Macaca mulatta: one gene and its partner. The protein of the gene in region 2 interacts with the protein of the main gene of each other region in a biochemical or structural test. Links are inferred from orthologs where the notes say so. Each region holds a gene or a part of one and is shown on either strand. Other genes may lie near its edges.

Region 1 (4,924 bases), on a different chromosome or scaffold from region 2:
GTTAGTGGGAAAGCTGGTCGACACGGTCTCCTCCTAAACACAGTGAAGGAGGGGAGGGCTGGTGCTGGGAAGGTCCCATGGCTTACAGAGTTCTGCGTGTTCTCCGTGTAGTGAGAGGTAGAGGGAACAGCACACGGCTGCATTCGTATTGAGAGGTGGGTGAGCCTCAGAAAAACAGTGCACTGAGGCGTGGGCTGGTGGGGATCCAGGTCTGCTGCCTCCAGGCTGGACTGTCTTCTACAGTTTGCTCGGTGCTGCTGTGTGCAGGACCGCTGGGTCATTCTCCTTTGACGCTGGGGTTGGTACCACCCCTTCCTCCTGCTTAGAATCTTAACTATGTCGATTTTCCTGGTCCTGAATCAGATGGGCCATCAGTTGAAGTTGTACTTTGCTAAAGCTAGGAGAGCTACAGAAACATCAATAGGTTTTCTCTTCACCCTAAACCTTGTTGCTACTGTCCCACTAGGGTCCCTGTGAGTCACCGTGGCGGGGCTGATGGTATGAAGCCACTCTCCTTGTCCTGCAGCAGCCACACTGTTGCCCCCATGCCTCAGAATGGCCCCAGAAGGCCCTACCTGCAGGTCCCCCAGCAGGCTGGACTTTCCACACATCCAGGCAGGGTACCGCTTCTGCCCCGACACGGGCAGGAGCCTCCCTGCACTGCGTTGGCGATGTGGTGGGGAGGGTGGAGCGCCGAGTCCCTGGGCTCCCTGTCGTTGGTAGTGATCAGCCCAAGTGTGGTGTGTCGCCTTTTAGGTGGAAAATTGAATTTAGCAGCCAGTCTGTGTGTGTTTTTAAAGACTGCCCCTTGCTGTGAATTTCACCATTAGAAGACAGGACTTTCTATAAATGATGCGGTCTTGGTGGTGGATAACCGTAAGCAAAGTGGCACCAGTAATTACGTGGTCTTCCTGGCCATCGCCCCGGCCACAGCCTGGGAGCCCCCTGGGGATATGGGGAGCAGAGTCCTTCAGTACGTGGTCCTCTCGGCCCCTGCAGCGGGCGGCCCTGTGACCAGGGCTTCCCAGCAGCTCAGCAGATGGCCTCTCAGGTTTTCTGTTGTGTGGGGTTTTGGACAGACGTTATTTTCTTTTTTGTAGAGTAGCCTGTTTGTAAGTTTAAAGTGTTTGTTTTTCTCCTTTGCAGCATCATGGCCAGCCCAAGAACCAGGAAGGTTCTTAAAGAAGTCAGGGTGCAGGATGAGAACAACGTAAGCCTCTGCCCCCCACCCCCGCCCCAAGCCTTGGTCAGGGTCAGCGAGTCTCGGGAGGTTGTGCTCTGAGTCCGTGGTTCTGAGACCCTCCTGGAGTCGATGGTGGTTGGCGTCCTCTGGACGTGTGTGACTTGTGCTGGCTGGTGGCCTGGGTGGCCGGCTCTTAGAGTGGTGCCATTTCTGGCGCTCATCAGTGCTGGCTGTTGGGGGTGGGGGCTCCTCCACATTCCTCAGGCCACATTGCTCTAAGGACAGGTCCGCCTCATCTTCCCATCTGAACATTTTATTACATGGGAGACTCTTTTCCCTCACGCCTTGCCCTGACCCACACCCCCGGCCACCCTGGGCAGCCCTCTGCATTTGCTTCTTGAGGCCACCTGTCGGATCTTTGGGGTCCCTGGGCTCTGCCCTGAGCCACCTGGTGAGTCACTTGTGGCCCCTTTGCAGGTTTGTTTTGAGTGTGGCGCATTCAATCCTCAGTGGGTCAGTGTGACCTATGGCATCTGGATCTGCCTGGAATGTTCGGGGAGACACCGTGGGCTTGGGGTGCACCTCAGGTCAGTGTCCTACCACTCCGGCTCTGCGGAGAGCCTGCGGCCTTCCCAGCGTCTGTTTCTGACACTGGAGGTGCTGACGCCAGGGAAGCTTGGGGGCCATCTCCCATTGAGTTGCCAGTGTCCACTCCAGTGACGCCATGGCACAGGGTTCCGGCTGCTGGCCACTCGGCCTCCCTGCGGCTGCTGCTTGCTGTGTCTAATTCTCAGGACGATGTCGGGTGGAGGGTGTCCCTGGGTGTCCCCGGTGCTGGTTGATTTGCTCAATCCTCTGGTTTCCAGCTTTGTGCGCTCTGTTACTATGGACAAGTGGAAGGACATTGAGCTTGAGAAGATGAAAGCTGGCGGGAATGCTAAGTTCCGAGAGTTCCTGGAGTCTCAGGAGGACTACGATCCCGGCTGGTCCTTGCAGGAGAAGTACAACAGCAGAGCCGCGGCCCTCTTTAGGGATAAGGTAGAGATGGGCCCGACTCACTCTTGCCCCATGGTGCGGGGCTGCTCTGCCTTTAGTGGTTCTGGAGTTGGTTCTTTTGCTGGTTCTGACACACCCACTGGGCCACACATAGTCCGGGACAGAAGGGAATGTCGTGGTCCTTGCTGCCCTGCCCAGAGGGGAGGCACATGGCTTGTGGGAGAGATGGACCTTCCCTGCCTCCAGGGGAGAAAGTAGCTGTGACCGTTTACTGCCTCTGTGACTTGTTGGGCACAGTGTTTCTAAGAAGTTTGGAGGCCAAATGGGTGGGTCCCCCTGCGTTTGAAGTTGGAGTTGCACCAACTAGGAGCTCCCCAGCTCTGTTGTTCATGTAAAGGGAGCCCTGGCCTCGCGTCCACACCTGGTCTGTGCACCTGAGCAGGGGTCGTCGAGCGGGGCCAGGAGGAGGCTACGGGTGGTGGATGCTCCAGGCGGGCCGAGGGGGCTGCGCTAGAGTCAGCGGTGCCCCAGGGTGTCGCCAGGCACCTTTATGCTCTCTGATGCCCCGTGTCTCCTTGTCAGGTGGCCGCTCTGGCCGAAGGTAGAGAGTGGTCTCTGGAGTCATCACCTGCCCAGAACTGGACCCCACCTCAGCCCAGGACCCTGCCGTTCACGGCACACCGGTAGCTGCTCCTCATGGGGCCTCAGTGCAGTTTCCACTGGGCCCTGATCTTAGTCGACTGGGTTACCCCACAGAATTCCCTTCTTTGCTGTTGTGACAGCTCTTTTCCCAGAAGTCAGTGAGAAAAACAGATTTTTTAAATTGCCAAAACAATTCAAGCTTTTTGTAAATTTCAACCCATAAAACTGTCTCAAAGAGTGCCCCAGGTAGGCTCTGCACGCCTTCCAGATGTGCACACAGCCGTGTGCGCCGTGGCGCTGTGGGAATTCACGTCTGCACACAGCTGTGTGCGCCGTGGCGCTGTGGGATTCACGTTTGCACACAGCCGTGTGCGCCGTGGCGCTGTGGGATTCACGACTCCGTCTGCCCACAGAGGTGCTGTCTCCTCTTCCCCAGAGTTGCCCATCTACCTGTGGCACTGGCCCTGCCACCCTTGAACTGACCCCTGTCATGGATGCATCCCACGTCCCACTGCAGGGAACATCCCGGGTGAGGTGACTGGGTAGCACGAGGCCTCCCCACCTCACCTGGAGCCCCGGAGCCCCGCCAGCCAGGTGTTTCTGGCAGAAGGCTTTGCACTTCGGGCAACTCCAGCTTGATTCCAGGCCCTCGGTCCTCTTCCCCCACCTCTCGCCTCTGCCTCCTGCTGACGGGGAGAGTGCAGAGCCCACTGCGGAGGCCTCTCGTGGTGCCCATGAGGCTGGCATTGCTGGGTTTCAGCACCTGAGCCTGAACATCCGCTCAGAGCTGAAGGCCACCCTGGCCTCAGGTGCTCTCGGGTGACGTGAAGGCGCTGCCCACATAGGCCACATGGTTCTGGGGGTGCTGCTGGGGTTCCCTCAGACTTCACCCAGTTTTGACCTCACCAGCCTTTGATTCTTGGTTTCAGAGCCTCTGGCCAGCTGCAGAGTGTGACCGCCTCCTCGGACAAGGCTTTCGAAGACTGGCTGAATGATGACCTCGGCTCCTATCAAGGGTAAGGACTTGAGAGCTGGGGATGCCTGGGGAAGGCCAGACCCACGGGGTTCAGTCTGCTGGGTAGGGCTGCTTCCCTCGGGGCCTCCCGTGTGCAGTGGGTGTGGGACCCGTACGTGCCGGTGCAGGGTCTGACTGCAGTGAGCCCCGGCTGCCCACCCGGGTGTGGATTGGGGGTCTTGGGTGTAGAGAAGAGCTAACACTTAGAAGAAAAGCATAACACATTTTCTGCTTGGAATTTGCTGGACCTATACGTGAATTTTTATCCCCAAAGCTGTCATATTAAGTTGTTTTGATCCTTCTTCCAGTACTTCTATGACTGGGTTTGGGGACTTGCTGGGGACCCTCTCTGGTGATGTGGCAGGAGGGTCTTTTTAAATGAGCAGGAAGCACGTCTGTCTGCTGCTGGGGAGCTGCCAAGGCTCCTGCTGCTACGGGAGGCAGCGTGCATGTCCTGTGCTGGGGGACGCTGGCACATCCCTCAGAGCCTCAGCCTCACCTCTGTTCAGGGCCCCACACCTTCAGGAGGAGCAGGGTTCACGCCAGCATCTTCAGCCTCTTGTCCGCTTTGTTTTCAGAGCTCAGGGGAATCGCTACGTGGGGTTTGGGAACACGCCACCGCCTCAGAAGAAAGAAGATGACTTCCTCAACAACGCCATGTCCTCCCTGTACTCGGTGAGGACTTGTGGGCCCTGCAGAGCATCTCCCATGGGCAGACCCGGACTGAGGGCACGCCGGGCCGTCGGGGGCAGTGTGGCAGTCCTGGAACACGTGCTCTTGGCCTTGCTGTGATCTAAGGACCCCTCCCTTACCTTCAGTGACGTTTTCTTGCAAAAATGTGGCTTAAATTTTTCAGATCCCAAATTCAGTCACTTCTTTTTTTTTAAAAGACGGAGTCTTGCTTTGTTGCCCAGGCTGCAGACTGGAGTGCAGTGGCGCATTCTGGCTCACTGCAACCTCTGCCTCCCAGGTTCAAGTGATTCTCCTGCCTCAGCCTCCTGAGTAGCTGGGATTATAGGCACCCACTATCACGTCCAGCTAATTTTTGTATTTTTAGTAGAGATGGGGTTTCACCAGGTTGGCCAGGT
Region 2 (5,623 bases):
TTATTGGCTACTGGTGACCAGCTCAATCTTCAGTCCCTCTCCACTCTGGGGAAATTGGAGGGTGGGGCTGAAACCCTCTAATCCTACCTTGGCCCCGTGACTAGCCCTACCCTGAAGTTTCGTAGGGGCTGCCCGTCACTGGTCAACTCATTAGGGTACAAAAAGACATCATCACTTTGGAGATTCCAAGTATTTTAGTAGTTGTATGGCAGGAAATGGGAGGCAGGCCAGATATGTATTTTGCAATCCACAACTACAGACTTCTAACTTCCTGAAATGTTCATGGACTGAATCAAGTCTCCCGTTCACTTCATGCTGTACACTAACAGTGAGCCCTGGGCCTCCGGGGTGTGGGAGAACGTCTGCCTTCTAAACAGAATCATTCTCAATTGCTGTGCCTGTGAAAATCTGCCTTTTATGCTTTCCCTGTCTCTTCTCTTGATGTCATTTAGGCTTTTCCTGTTATCAGGGCCTGTAAGAAGCACCACCTTTCCCAGTCTGTTGGCTGACAACCGGCTGCAAGCCCTTGTTACCACTGTGTGAGAACCAGGAAACCAGGATTAGTCAAGGACATTATGGCTAATCAGCCAGCCTTACTGTCTTCTCATCCCTGTAGATGGTTGAGTGACAGGACCCTGGGGGAGGACCTGAGAGCCTCTTGGGAACAAAAAACATCCAGGACATGTCTGTCAAGTTGCTAACAAGGTCATCTGACCCACCTGAGAATGTGAAACTACCTTCCAAGACGGTGCTGGGCACCTGCACAGCTGTAAGGTGATAAGTGCAACTATGCCTTAAAGAGTTTATAACAACCACAGGAAAATACGAACCTGAGGATGAAGGCAAATCCTGGAATCCCAACATGAAGGGGCTAAACCTTTTCCAAAAGACCACTTCAGATGCTACAGGCAGGATACCCCTACCAACCAACCACACCAATGAGGAGCAGGCACAACACAGAAAACACAAGTTCTCATAATTTAAGATCCCCACTGCAAGGCCTTTTCCTGTTTCTCTCCCAATTACCTCTGACAGTGCACTCTACTTCCTTTCACCCTCTTGAGTTTACCGAGGTGAAAGGTCAGGGGGAGAGGACAGAATGCCTATGAGAGACAGTATGGGCCTGCCAGCCCAGGCTGGCTGCAGCCTCTTGCTCAAGAGAATGGTCACAGCTCAGGAAGAAGTGTGTACAAAAGCTTGGTGAGCATGGCCTGTGAGTAAGAGCTGGTTTAAATACACCAATGAGACATTTAATTTGAAGAATCTAGAAAAAACTGCTTCAACTCTCTGAAACCACAGTCATATACTTTGCGTGTGAACTTGCACAACAGGTTTTTTTCTCTTAGTTAGGTCTACTTCTATGATCACTGCAGCAGCTGACAGTCCATATTAAATTTTACTGAAGTGAAAAATGAAAGGCCAAATGCATCTTCGAAGCTATAGTTTCAAGCCTGTCCAGTCTGTAGGGGCAGATGAGCAGGTGAAGATGTCTGAATGTCCTCTCCATATTGTGCAAGAGGTACAGCGCATAGCTAGACTACATGATGTACAAAATCAGAACTGTGAGGGGCACAGAACCAGTTTTTGCTTTTCACTCACAGTCATTCTGTGACTCAGCTGTTGTCCAAACCAACTGTTTCAAATCTTTTTCAACTAGCAAATCTGAAAAACTGCCTGACAGGCAACAGCATATTCCTACTGCTGCAATGATTTGGATTTATTTTCAACAAGATACACCTAAAGACAAGTGACAGATATTCTCCGGTCTACCAACATGTGAAAACGTGGACAACACACCTCTAACAATGTGGCCAATCAGATGTGTATACTAACATTTATACTACTCAATTCTTCTCAATTTTGGACCCAGCTAATAGTACGGCATTTCAGGACCTTATGGTTCTGGCTACCTTGGTAGTGCTGGTGAAAATTCAAATTAAATGAGGACATCATCCATGCAGTCACACGTGTTAGACAATGGCTAACGCAAAAGCAGAGGGCCACAGGGGCCGCACACAACCGCACCTCGGCATCTCACACTCCTCCCAACACACTGCGGAAAACGCCAGAACCACCAGCCTTGCAACAACCGGCGGCAGAGAAAACTGCTGACCACTAGTTCTGAAACAAGAAATACAACTGCCCACTCCAATAGGGGCAGTGGCACCAACTCTACAGCTCTAAACTAGGCGGCGACTTCGGGGACCATCCAAAGACTCCGACCTCCCTTCTTTTTCTGCCCGCGATTCCGAGCGCATTTCTGCTCAATTCCTGCAAAGCAGCAACTGGCTGCCTGGACGGAAAGGGAGTCCGCCAGGAAGTGCCGTCGGAATGGTTATCTAACACTCTAGGTGCGCACGGCTGTACAGACCCAATCTCACAAGCCGTAACCACCCAGGCTGTGCCCCGAGAGAGCGCTGGGGCCGGCCTCTGCGGCCTAGAGTCTACGAGCAGGTCGTTCCGCAGGCAAGTTAAAGATTCACCAGCTCAAAAGAGGCCTTCTTATCTACTGCCGACAACGTCAAGGAAACCACCCTGGAGTTAAAGCGAACATCGACCGGCCCTCTGGAAGCCACCGGAGACTTCATACTGACCCCAAATCGCGTCTCACTGTTGTGAAGGGAGGCACTCTGGGCTTCCCCGGAGGTCCACGCATTCCGTTCAGCAGACAGGGAAAGGCGCAGGGTCCCTGTCCACTGCCCGCCCGCTCGCTCTCACCGCCCCTGACCCAGTGCCTTCCTCAGAAGAAACACGAACTGGATGGAGTCGGGAGGCGAAGGTGCAAGCCCCCACCACCTACGTGACCTTGACGGTGTCTTGGGGCCGCCTGAGCCTCAGTTTCCCGGTCCCCGAGGCAGCGGTCCGCCCGGATGCCGCTCGCTAGCCTGTACTCGGGTGGAGGAGGCCCCACAACCCCCACCGGCCCCCGAGACCGCTAACCCCAACCCTCCACGCGCGGGCGGCCTCGGGAAACGTGAGGGGCAGAGGTGAGGGAAGCAGGAAGCCCAGGTTTCCTGGAGAAGAGCCTGGCGTCCCGGCTGACTTCCGGGCGACGGGCGGGGGCAGGGACTGGCAGAGGAGGACAAGGGGCCGCGGGCGACTCCGGGAACCTGTGAGGGGCGCGAGGAGCTCACCGACCCGCCCGCCCTCCCAGCCCCGACTCCCCAGCCTCAGCCCGGCCCGTCCTCGTCCGCCCCCGGCCCGGCCCTGTCGCCGCCGCCGCCGCCGGGATCGAGGTGCCCTTCGCGAACCTCAAGTCGCCCCGAGGCCAGTCCCCAGACCCCGCCGGCTCCAACTTGTGTGCGGCCCACACCGACCCGCGCCCCTCGCCCTCACCTCAGAAGCTGCTGCTTCGAGCCAGGCGTTGGTTTCGCTCCCACAAGATGGCGGCTCTGACGGCGGCCACGTCAGCGCCTGCGGGCGCGGGGAACGTCGGGTAAGAGGCGGAGACGCCGGGAGCTCCGCCCCCCGTGCGCCCGCGACGCAGGCGCGCTGGCTCCAGAAGGGCTGCAGGGGGCGGGGCCGGGGACACCCAGCCCCGGGCCGAGGTCCTAGCTCGCGCGCGCCTTAGGGGTGCGCACCCGTCTGCGCCTGCGCCTGTGAGTCTTCCGAAAAGACACCTTGTGGCTGCCACACGCCCGTTTGGCAGATTCGGAGACTGAGGCCCGGGGGGCTGCTGCAGCAACTGGAGCGGCGGGGCCGGGTTGCCACCCTCCTCCTCCCCGACCCGGCAGTCACCGCGAGCCCTCGGGGACCGCGTGAGGACTGGGGTGCGAGGCGCCCCTTCGCTGGGATTGGGGTCCCTGGCTCCCAGGCTGCGCGGGTCCGTGTGCCCCGGCCCTGTGGAAACCTGTGGCACTCGCGGGGCCTCGGCGGAAGGTCCGAAGGAGGGAGGCCTGCTATGTCCCCGCACTGGCCTCGGCGCCCCGGCGGCCGCAGTGACTCGCGCGGGCTCATGCCTGGGCTCATGCCGGGGAGTTGGCTACAGATGAAGCAAAGGAGGAGGTGGCCTGGGGACCCCGGGGGGAGGCCGGGGCTGTGGGGGTGGTGCCCAGAAGGGAGGTCACAGCGGTCTCTAATGAGCTGGCCTTTCAGCTGAGATCCAGTTGAGGCGGAGGAGACCCCGCTCCCAGGAAGCCCTCCTGGATTGGTCAGAAGGGAACAGAGGCCTGGCTCTGCCCACCACCCTCAGGTCTTCTTGCCTCTTCCCTTGTGCAGCTGTGAGGGATTGGGCTTGTGGGAGAGCGTCCGTGCAGCACAGTTCTCTGGGTATTCTGGAGGTCGGGAATCAACCTGATTTGTCCAGGGGGAGGCCCGGGGGCAGGGCCTGAGGGGTGGGGTCACTGGGCCTGGCCCAGGCCTCCTGCGCCCCTTTGCTGCCGCCATCACCTACCTTGCTTGCCCCTTGGGCAGGGCATCCTCACTGCCACTGCAGGCTGCGATAGTCGGAGTTCTCCCCCAGGGCTGCACCTGCGGGGGCTTCGAAGGACCCCAGAAGTGGTGACCCTCCTGCCCCCAAATTCAGTCCCTTTTTCTGCCTGGGGCTCCCCTCTGAAATCTCACCTCTGTGAAGCTGCGGCAGGTTGTCTGTTTAGGGGAAGGATGTCTCCCTCCCACCCTACAGGCATCTCAGATACTCTTGGAAAGCCCCAGGGAGGGGTGTGGATGCCTGTGGAGCCTTCTGATTGTGCTGCCTCTCCCGCTCAGCCAGAACTGGACCATGCTCGGACATTTCATGGGGGATACATGTGGTTATGGCCACTTTAGGGCTGAAGGGACCTGGCTTTGGTTCTCTGATGGCAGAGCATGGCCAGGGGTGGCTCCAGTGTCACTGAGTGGGGATTGTGTGGGAACCAGAGCCTGCTTCCCCTTCCTTTAAAATACTCTATTTTTTTTTTTCTTTTTTTGAGATGGAATCTTGCTCTGTCGCCCATACTGGAGTGCAGTGACACAATCTTGGCTCACTGCAATCTCCGCCTCCTGGGTTCAAGCAATTCTGCTGCCTCAGCCTCCCAAGTAGCTGGGATTGCAGGCGCCTGCCCCTACGCCCAACTAATTTTTGTATTTTTAGTGGAGACAGGGTTTCACCATGTTGGCCATGGCTGGTCTCGAACTCCTGATCTCAGGTGATCCACCCGCCTTGGCCTCCCAAAGTGCTGGGATTACAGGTGTGAGCCCCCGTGCCTGGCCCCTTTAAAATATTTTATTTTAAATGTGAAAAAATGCAGACAGGAAAGAGTGTATGTCAGATACATGCACAGTTTAAAAAGTAATAAAATGGATTTCTGTATACACAGCCCTAGGGTTAAGAAATGTACCTTCCCCAGCCTGGGCAACATGATGAGACCCCATCTCTACAAAAATTTTACAAAGATAGCCAGGTATGGTGACACACACCTGTAGTTCCAGCTACTTGGGAGGCTGAGGTGGGAGGATCGCTTGGGCCCAGAAGTTCAAGGTTACAGTGACCTAGGACTCTGCCACTGCACTCCAGCCTGGGTGGCAGAGTGAGACCCTGTCTGCAAATAATAATAATTTTTTAAAAAGTCCCTTTCCGCTGATTCTGTGCTCCTGGTTTGGCCTCCCCACCACCACCAGGACAAAAGTGATGTCTTCAAGCCAG

The links.
Region 1: the proteins of ARF1 (region 2) and ARFGAP1 form a complex in vitro, tested with the Homo sapiens proteins (2 studies listed by BioGRID, with this or other methods). The link is inferred for Macaca mulatta from reciprocal best matches to the Homo sapiens genes ARF1 and ARFGAP1.

What each region holds. Positions count from the first base shown.
Region 1 is NC_133415.1:116,134,451-116,139,374, forward strand, and holds part of ARFGAP1 (ADP-ribosylation factor GTPase-activating protein 1), read left to right. Parts: intron 1-1,146; 5' UTR 1,147-1,150; coding exon 1,151-1,210; intron 1,211-1,660; coding exon 1,661-1,770; intron 1,771-2,049; coding exon 2,050-2,221; intron 2,222-2,761; coding exon 2,762-2,862; intron 2,863-3,750; coding exon 3,751-3,837; intron 3,838-4,414; coding exon 4,415-4,511; intron 4,512-4,924. UniProt on the Homo sapiens protein: GTPase-activating protein (GAP) for the ADP ribosylation factor 1 (ARF1). Involved in membrane trafficking and /or vesicle transport.
Region 2 is NC_133406.1:85,833,814-85,839,436, reverse strand, and holds the start of ARF1 (ADP-ribosylation factor 1), read right to left. Parts: upstream 3,378-5,623; 5' UTR 3,337-3,377; exon of another isoform or gene 3,252-3,336; intron 3,176-3,251; exon of another isoform or gene 2,657-3,175; coding exon of another isoform or gene 2,595-2,656; intron 1-2,594. UniProt on the Homo sapiens protein: Small GTPase involved in protein trafficking between different compartments. Modulates vesicle budding and uncoating within the Golgi complex. In its GTP-bound form, triggers the recruitment of coatomer proteins to the Golgi membrane.